Arabidopsis thaliana: one gene and its partner. The protein of the gene in region 1 interacts with the protein of each later gene in a pairwise test. Each region holds a gene or a part of one and is shown in the gene's direction. Other genes may lie near its edges. The genes, in order: AT4G31620 and ABR1.

Evidence for each region.
Region 2: the proteins of AT4G31620 (region 1) and ABR1 interact in a two-hybrid assay, tested with the Arabidopsis thaliana proteins (one large-scale study listed by BioGRID).

What each region holds. Positions count from the first base shown.
Region 1 is NC_003075.7:15,321,701-15,326,747, reverse strand, and holds AT4G31620 (Transcriptional factor B3 family protein), read left to right. Parts: upstream 1-2,027; 5' UTR 2,028-2,089; coding exon 2,090-2,170; exon of another isoform or gene 2,171-2,245; coding exon 2,246-2,671; intron 2,672-2,768; coding exon 2,769-3,164; intron 3,165-3,241; coding exon 3,242-3,496; intron 3,497-3,577; coding exon 3,578-3,866; intron 3,867-3,951; coding exon 3,952-3,989; 3' UTR 3,990-4,353; downstream 4,354-5,047. Other genes in the region: AT4G31630 (Transcriptional factor B3 family protein), read left to right, coding at 1-173, 257-670, 753-992, 1,073-1,405; AT4G31615 (Transcriptional factor B3 family protein), read left to right, coding at 4,554-4,631, 4,740-5,047.
Region 2 is NC_003076.8:25,889,554-25,894,390, forward strand, and holds ABR1 (Integrase-type DNA-binding superfamily protein), read left to right. Parts: upstream 1-1,895; 5' UTR 1,896-2,125; coding exon 2,126-2,564; intron 2,565-3,366; coding exon 3,367-4,103; 3' UTR 4,104-4,335; downstream 4,336-4,837. Other genes in the region: RPN5B (regulatory particle non-ATPase subunit 5B), read right to left, coding at 4,474-4,692, 4,770-4,837.

The sequences.
Region 1 (5,047 bases):
ATGATGAAGACGACGATGTAGGAGATGATGATGACAATTCGATATCCGAAGATGATTTTTGTTCAAAGAAAATTTCGTCGAAGAAGAGAGCAAGAAAAGAAACAGAGTCTTCATCAGACAAATCTTATCTTGTTGCACACGTCACACCTTCAAGCCTACTCCGAGATAATATGGTGATTACTACTTCGCTGGAATCTTTAATACAATTCTCATTCTATTCTTTTGCTACAATATATATGAAGTTGTGATTTTGCAGTGTGTTTTAAGCAAATTTGCAAGGTCAAATGGTCTGGACAGGAGAGAGTGTGAGATTGATCTGAGGGATGAACATGAAAAATCTTGGACTCTGCTTTTGAGACACAACAAAAAAACTGGTCAGGCTTTTATGCGTGGAGGATGGAGAAGTTTTTGTCGTAATAACGGGATCAAAGCTGGATCTATCTGTAGGTTTAAGCTTGTCCAAAGCGGAATAAAACCTGTGCTACAGCTGTGTCCCAACGCCTCTAGCATTCCAGAAGGAAACTCTTCCAAAGCAAGAAAAAAACGAAATGTTTCTGAAATTGAAGGTGATGAGATAGAATCTGAGAATTGCTCAGAGACTATTCCATTGAATCAGAACAAGATTCTGACGTTTGATCTTAAACCTTACGTGTTCAGGTCATGTCAATTTGTAAGTTTTCAAGACCTTTGTTCTAGGTGTTTTTCAAGTCTTTTTGTGTTGTCATTCGCTTAAATGTGTTGAAAATGTACAGTTTCTTCCTGCATCGTTCGCAAGAGAGAACGGGATCGTGGAAGCAGGAGAGGTAACTGTATTGAACAAAGATGGCATAGAGTGGAAGTCGCATCTAGTTAACATCAAGGGACGCGATCAGTTTTACAATAGAGGTTGTCAAGATTTCTTTGTAGCTAATGGCGTAAAGAATGTTGGTGATCCCTTCACATTGGAGGTTATTCGAGGAGGACCATCTCCAATTCTCAAGATCTGTTCCAAGGTTAACATAAAATCAGTTACAGTCTTTGTTCTTGGCTTTTGCTATTGTGAAATCGTTGTTTTAAAACGAATTGTGTTCAGGTGAAACAAGCAGCATCATCTGATGGCCATAAGACTGCGGATAGGAAACCCCGAATGACGGATCAAGCACCACTGGCTGAAGAACAAACTGATAATCGGGTCGAAAAGAGAGCTCAAGTTACTGAGGAAGGAGGGCCATCTCGCAGCACTAGGGCTGATCCGGGAAACTTGCAGCAAAAGCAACCTTGCTCAATATCTGATCACGTTAAAAAGGTGAAACAGAGTATTGTGGATACTTTAACCGATGTAAGGCGGTTTCAGTCGGAGCTCAAGGTAAAAGAACAGAATCTAGAAGCTTCATTGCAAGAAATTGATGCGTTAGGTATGATCTGAATACCAGTGAACACTACTTTTAATTGTGTGTGTGGTTTATTTTGGTTCCAGATTTTTTGATAATGTGATGTTGGAAACAAAAACAGGGGAAAAGATAATGGGAATCAGCAAAATCTTCAACATTAGTCAAGTTTAATTCAGAAATAAAGATTAGAAAATGGACCAGGTACTTTATGTTTGCAACCATGGAGTTAAGTATGTCACTGGATAATATTTCGGAACTTTTCCGTTTCCACTTGTCTTGGATATTAATTATCCCATAGCCTTTATCTCATTCACGTCTCCGTCAAGATAAAGTTACTGACATTGTCTTTAGATTCGTATCCCAGTGATTGAACTGTTGTACTGAACGGGACATGTCTGTCTTGGTAATGATGGTAAGATAGACTTTTAATTTAAACTGGATATTTTCTTTTTTTTACGAACCAATCTAAACGATTCGTTCTTATAGTATGAATCAAACGGGTTTAAATAATGGGTTCCATAACATTATCATTAGGTATTTGGCTATGATATTTAAATAATGCTGACAAAAATAAAAATATCTTGGTTGAAGAATTAAATTTACAAAATTATTAACAAAACGTATAAGACTAAACAAAAAAAAAGAAAAAAAAAAGACAAATTTGGCTATAAAACCAAAAATCCATAAAGACCTCAAGAAATAACTTAAAGAGTTCAACAATGGCGAATCATCCACTATCTTCTTCTCGATCCAACCGACCTTTTTTCGTCAGATCACTTGCTGGACACACCTCAAATCTAGTAACCTCTCTCTGTCTCTCTCTCTCTCTCTCAACTTACCAAGAAACTCAAATTTAGTTGTCACTGTTGTTGCAGATAATTCCTGATGAGTTTTTCACTGCTCACTTAGAGGGTAAAACTGGCTTAACGAAATTGAAACTGACTTCTGATGCTTCGGATAGAATCTGGGATGTGAGACTGAACGGCCGGAGATTCGCCGGCGGCTGGGATGATTTCTCCGCCGCACACTGTCTTCGAGACGACGACGTTTTGGTTTTCAGACTCGACGTGAAGATGGTTTTCCACGTCACACCTTCCGGACGCAGTTTCTCACAGATACGTACATCTTCTAGCTCCGGCGACTACGACAGTGATGATGATGATGATGAAGCAGGGGACGATGATTCAGATTCGAAGAACATTTCGTTGAAGAAGAAATCAAGATTTGAAGCAGAGTCTTCTTCATCGGAAAAATATTGTCTTCTCGGCCTCACTGCTTCCAACCTACGCCTAAATCGAGTGGTTAGTACTACTTGGCATCAAATTCTTTAGAGTTCTTGTTTATGAGTTATTTATATATATGTGAACATTGAAATTGTGTTTTGTTCTTTTTTGGCAGAGTTTTACAAAACATTTTTCGAGAGCAAATGGTTTGACGAAGAGATGTTGTATGATTGATCTAATGAATCTAAGTGGGGAATCATGGACTCTGGGTCTGCGACACAACAAAAGAACTGGTCAGGCTTTTATCCGTGGACGCTGGAGAAGTTTCTGCCATGCAAATGAGCTGAAACCCGGATCGTTCTACCGGTTTAAGCTTGTCCGGAATGGGACAAGGCCTTTGCTACAATTGTGTTTTAAAGTTATTCCACAAGGAAACTGTTCCAATTCCAAAGCAAATGGAAAAGCTAATGTTTCTGAAAAGTATAGCAGGGAAGATGGGAGTGCTTCAACGAAGCAGAACAAGTTTCTGACAGTAACCTTGAAGCATTACATGATCCAGTCAGGGCAACTTGTAAGTTTTCAACGTCTTAGGTTTAGGGTTAATTTGATTATGCATTTTCTTGTAATACTTCACGAATGCTTATGCAGCGTCTCCGGAGATCATTTGTGAGGGAGAACGGGATCAAGGAGGCTGAAGAGATAATTCTAGTGGACAAAAATGGAGTAGAGTGGCCATCCTATGTATCTTCTTCCAAACAACGAAGAGAGTTTTACATGGCACATGGTTGGATTAGGTTTTGTGAAGCCAATAAGTTAAAGACGGGAGAGACCTTCACGTTGGAGTTTGTTCGAGGAGAAGGCACAACTCCTATGCTCAAGTTCTGCTCCGAGGCCAAGGTCAAGGTGAATAAACACCTTGTGATTCAAGTCGCCTTTTTTGTTATAATGAACTATATTTAGACTGTTAAAATGAATTGTATTCAGATAGAGCAAGAAGAGGCTCCAGAAGAGAGGGGGACTCCGTTACCAAAGAGAGCTCGAGTGTCTGCAGAAGTAGGACACTCTCGTCGCACTCAGGCACCAAACAAATCCAGTGACGATCCAAAAATCTTGCAGCGCAAGCAACCACTTCAACCCTGCTCATTCTCTGATCAAGCGAAAAAGGTGAAACAGAGTATTGTAAACATTCTAACTGGTATAAAACGGTTTCGGTCAGAGCTTGAGTTAAAGGAGCGGAATTTAGAAGCTGCGCTGCTGGAAATCGACGCCTTAGGTATGATCTAAACACTGATGAACAGTTGTTTTCTTTTACTATTCTGTTTCTTTGTTTCTAAAATTTTAATGTTGAAAATAAACAGGGGATAAAGTATCGGAAATCAACAAAATCCTCAAGTAATCATCAAGTCTAGAAGGGAAGTGAAGATTAGGAAATGGAACATGAACTTTTGCAAATCTTGTTAGTATCTGCCATCTGGAACTCGTTCAACAATCAAGACAAGTAGTTTCTTTAGTAAATGATATATGATTTACGTGTTTGTGAAAATCGAAACTCTGTAGTAAAGCTGATTTCTAAATAGCCTTTGGACGTGAGATTGTTTAAAGGGATCAGTTTGATTGTCTAACGATAAGATGTGTGCTTGTGGGATGATTGGTAGGTAGTAGAAAAGTGAATTGAGAATCCAAAAAAAATAATAATTAAGGTCAGTTTTATAGACCTATCAAATTTCAAACGTGACAGTGGTGGCCCCCACCTTACTGACCTATCAAATTTCAACGTAAAGTCTCCTTGCCAGATTTACTGCTTCTGTCTCTTTCAGCGTTTTCGAGAAAGAACTTGCATGCTCTTTAATTAAAACATTTCTTTAATTCGAAGAAGACTTGGAAAAGACAAAATTTTCAAGATCAGACTCACATATATCTGAGATTATTAGTAGAGTTGTGGAGATTACTTTATTCAATAATGGATGATCCAGCAATTTCCTCTCCAACCAACAAGCATTTCTTCGTCATAGTTCTTCATGGACACAAATCCAGTCCCGTAATTACTCTCTTCTATTCGTTTCTTTATGTTTCTCTCTGTTACAATTGTTCAAAAAAACTTATAACTGGTTTATATATCATCCTTGTTAATGTTGGTGTCGTGCAGATGATTCCTGCTGAGTTTTTTTCGACTTACGTGGAAGGTAAAAACCACCAGTCTACAAAACTGAAACTGACCTCGGACGCTTTCGATAGAACCTGGGAAGTGAAATTGAACGGCCGCAGATTCGCCGGCGGCTGGGAAAATTTCTCCACCGTACACTCTCTCCAAGATGACGACGTTGTGATTTTCAGGGAAATCGGGGACATGACCTTTCACGTCACAGCCTCCGGTCGCAGTTTCTGTAAGTTACAGTACATATCCTCTGACGAAGATAGGGCTGATGAAGATGATGCATGGAACGTGTATTCAGA
Region 2 (4,837 bases), on another chromosome or scaffold:
TTCTCCGGTTTTGCCATGTTAAACAAGTTTAATATTTACAAGTTGGATGCATATTCGTATAATAATACGTAACTAATCCGAATTGAATGCTTAATTGACGCGTTGATGCGAACTTAAATAGGGATTAGGTTAGGCGATAGGCACACACAAGCATGGTGAAAACATAAATTTATTTAATAATCACTATGTTTCCGTATTTGGATTGATCTTTGAAGACTCGATCTCTAAATTTGTTTTATTTTACTACTAATTTTTATTTGATAGACATATTTAGGTATTTTTATCGCCTAAGTGATTAAAAGCTACTGTATGTTTTAGTGGAATATAATTAAACTGGATTAGTATAAAACAGGGCATCTTAGTTTCTAAAAAGGGAAATGACCGGTGAAAAGGTTTATCCAGTTTTTTTTTTTTTTTTGTCGTGGTTTATCCAGATTAATTATACTGTCGTACAATATTTTTGTTCAGCTTCTTTAAGAAAATAAACTGTCGCACTGACTAATTAATTAGTTAATAGAGACTTGAGCATCAGCCTAAGAAAAATGTCACATCAATAACAATCGTTTTTTTTTCTCCCATCTTTGCAAATTATGTATTATTAGCTTCGTTAAATCTGCGACTTTTTAACAATACGAAAATGTCTCGTGTATAACAGGTAAAAATAACAACTACGTCAACTTGTGAGCACAATTGCTTAGATTGGTTAAAAACAAAAGTCCAACGATGCGTTTCGAGATTATCCTCAAGTTAACTCTCAACCAAAAAATAATAGAAAATCCAAAAGATATCAATATAATAATTATTCTGCGTTCAGACTAGAATCTACGAGTACATATCTGCAAGTTCTGAAATCTGAACCATCCTGAGCTTAATTGCAAATATGGACAACAATATGTTTTTCTTAACCAAAAAGTTTTTGTGCAGCCTCTATTAGACTCGATTCGGGCGAATAAGAAAACAACTCTTATAGTTAAAAGAAAAACACATCACAAATCCTAAAATCATATTTTCTTCTGAACAATGCGTTTCTATTTTTTTTCTATTTTCTTCTGAACAATGCGTTTCTATTATTTTCTTCTGAAAAATCGAAAACGAAGAAAATAATACAAGGTGTGGGTCAAACGGTCAAAGATAAGAGACGAAGGTTGAAACAAGTGGGCCGTAGGGTGAGGCCCAAACGGTCACGAGCATTAGCCTTACCATCACCGACACCGTCCACAAACGGAGCATCTGACGTCGACCAGAACCGACACGTGCAACACACGCGCATTCGTACGGAACGGCTCGTCTCTCAACTTGACCTTCAAGCTCACCGTTTAGACAAAATGCAAAAATAATCTTATTTTATAAATATTCCATTTAATGGTTTTACCTCTTTTTCAGCACCGAACCGTAAATATAGTAATTAATAATCGTTTCTGAATGCCTCCATATTTTAACAGTGTTTATAACTTCTTAAAGTTTTTACTATGCAAGTTGTCTTATGACACAGAGCTAATATACATAATTAATTCATTACCTTATTTATTTAATTTACTAGACTTGTTAAAGTATTCTTCAGAACTGTTCATAGAGTATAGGTCGCATATAGTATATTTACAAAAATATATAATTACTCACAAGTTGCGAAAAGATTCAGATACGTTTCATATAATAGGACCCAATTTTTTACAAAATTTGTTCAAATTGAGTTAAATCATCAAAACCAAATTTTCTTCTGTTATAGATCAAATTTATAAAAATAGCTATTTGCTATATTATATATATATATATATATATATAAACATTAGTTATTAAAAAAAAAACTGCGTGTTTCCAGTTCACACGGGTACAGAGAGAAGCCGACTCATTTTCATTTGGCGGCGCTGAAACCATACAAAGTAATTAACACAAGAAAATTAAATTTGTATATCTATCAGCTAAACCTCGTCCTTTGTCTTAAAAAACACATCTTCTAAAATCTCTGTCTTTCTTTCTTCCTCTTTGTCTCTGTTTCTTGTTTCTCTCTCTCTCTCTCTACAGAGTTTTCTTTCCCTCGAAGAAAAAGAATATTTTTAAATTTAATTTTCTCTGCGTTTATAAGCTTTAAGTTTCAGAGGAGGAGGATTTAGAAGGAGGGTTTTGTATGTGTGTCTTAAAAGTGGCAAATCAGGAAGATAACGTTGGCAAAAAAGCCGAGTCTATTAGAGACGATGATCATCGGACGTTATCTGAAATCGATCAATGGCTTTACTTATTCGCAGCCGAAGACGACCACCACCGTCATAGCTTCCCTACGCAGCAGCCGCCTCCATCGTCGTCGTCCTCATCTCTTATCTCAGGTTTCAGTAGAGAGATGGAGATGTCTGCTATTGTCTCTGCTTTGACTCACGTTGTTGCTGGAAATGTTCCTCAGCATCAACAAGGAGGCGGTGAAGGTAGCGGAGAAGGGACTTCGAATTCGTCTTCTTCCTCGGGGCAGAAAAGGAGGAGAGAGGTGGAGGAAGGTGGCGCCAAAGCGGTTAAGGCAGCTAATACTTTGACGGTTGATCAATATTTCTCCGGTGGTAGCTCTACTTCTAAAGGTTAGTTTTGTTGGGTTTTTATTTTGTCCTCTATAAACACACGTACCCTGTTTCGGATTTAAACCACATTAGTACACACCATTTTGATAAAATTTTACATATTTCGGTTGTGTATCCACAAAACATAAAACATTTAAATTATAAGATCATTCTATTTGATAAATGTTTTCAATAATTTTATGATGTAGTATATACATCAAGGTATGAGTCACATCAAATGTTTGTAACACAAAATCTAAATACAGTTGCACTTTTGTTGTCCTCACGCAATCTACAAAGCAACATGTCTTATATTTAGTTTTTTTATTCTTTTCTTTTATCGTTTTCTAAAATATGGCGAAGTTAGATATACTTTATAATAATTTAAATATAAAGAAAAATGAGGAATAAAAAATAGTAATTAGCGTAAAGATGTAAATAAATATTTCGAAGTGTTGACAAAAATAAATATAATAACGAAACTGTACTTGATTATCTTAAGACATATACTTTAGAATTGTTGTAAAAAGGTTGGATATTTAATTAAGAAAATGATGATGATGATGATGATATGCCAAAAGAATTTATCTCCCTCCAATTGCATCAAGAGTCGTTTTCCACTTCCTTTTTTTTTCTACTTGTTCATTCCTTTTGTCACCCATTTGCCTCATCACTTTCTCATACTCGCTCTTAAAAAAAAAACTTTATAATATCTTTATTGGAGACATTAATATTATCGATTCTTTTTCTTATGTAAGAAAGTGTTAATTCACGAGTGACAACAAAAGTGTGAAATTTTACATGTTTGTTTGTTTATTTGCAGTGAGAGAAGCTTCGAGTAACATGTCAGGTCCGGGCCCAACATACGAGTATACAACTACGGCAACTGCTAGTAGCGAAACGTCGTCGTTTAGTGGGGACCAACCTCGGCGAAGATACAGAGGAGTTAGACAAAGACCATGGGGAAAGTGGGCGGCTGAGATTCGAGATCCATTTAAAGCAGCTAGAGTTTGGCTCGGTACGTTCGACAATGCTGAATCAGCAGCAAGAGCTTACGACGAAGCTGCACTTCGGTTTAGAGGCAACAAAGCCAAACTCAACTTCCCTGAAAACGTCAAACTCGTTAGACCTGCTTCAACCGAAGCACAACCTGTGCACCAAACCGCTGCTCAAAGACCGACCCAGTCAAGGAACTCGGGTTCAACGACTACCCTTTTGCCCATAAGACCTGCTTCGAATCAAAGCGTTCATTCGCAGCCGTTGATGCAATCATACAACTTGAGTTACTCTGAAATGGCTCGTCAACAACAACAGTTTCAGCAACATCATCAACAATCTTTGGATTTATACGATCAAATGTCGTTTCCGTTGCGTTTCGGTCACACTGGAGGTTCAATGATGCAATCTACGTCGTCATCATCATCTCATTCTCGTCCTCTGTTTTCCCCGGCTGCTGTTCAGCCGCCACCAGAATCAGCTAGCGAAACCGGTTATCTCCAGGATATACAATGGCCATCAGACAAGACTAGTAATAACTACAATAATAGTCCATCCTCCTGATGACTTGCTTCATTTTATTTGTTTCACTATAGAGTAATAGAAAACAGGAAAATGATTATATGTTATAGAGTTATTTTTCCAAATATTATAGGGTTTAGGTTGTTTGTATTGTTCTGCTTTCATCCTCTCATGCTTTTTTTCTTAATTTATTATATTTTTGCATTATAATTTCGTTTCATTGTAACAAACATTAAAAAGACCACATGGAGAAAGGAAAAAAAAGAGAGTTTTGTATATAATCTTGCAAGGTCTCCTAAAGAACACAAAAAAAATGTGTTCGAACCAAGCAGAGAAAGAAAACTCAAATGATTATGTTAGAACGAGAGCCTGAAAGATTCTTTCCACCGATGTGTGTGGCTAGACCGGGTTCTCAAGCTCTTAGTGCAACTTTATGAACCATTGTTTCTTTGTGAATTTGGTGACAACTCTTTTCAACAAGATCCAAAAGCTTCTCCAAGTTTGTTGCCCACGAGTTGAGGATTTCGTTGCTGTCTTTAACAATCTGGAAGCAGATTATTCCTGATGGTCTGTCGATTTTTGCTATCAAGGCTTTGGACACAACCATTTCAGATAGATGCTTCTCTGCTTCCTGAAATATAATGAAACGGTAAGAAGAGATTTAAACATGTACTGGTACACTTAAGAGTATTTTGAAACTATATTTACCTCAGTGGTTAGGCATAAAAGTTCTGCAAGTCTCTTAAAGGTAATCCTTGAGTAGTACTTTGAGACAA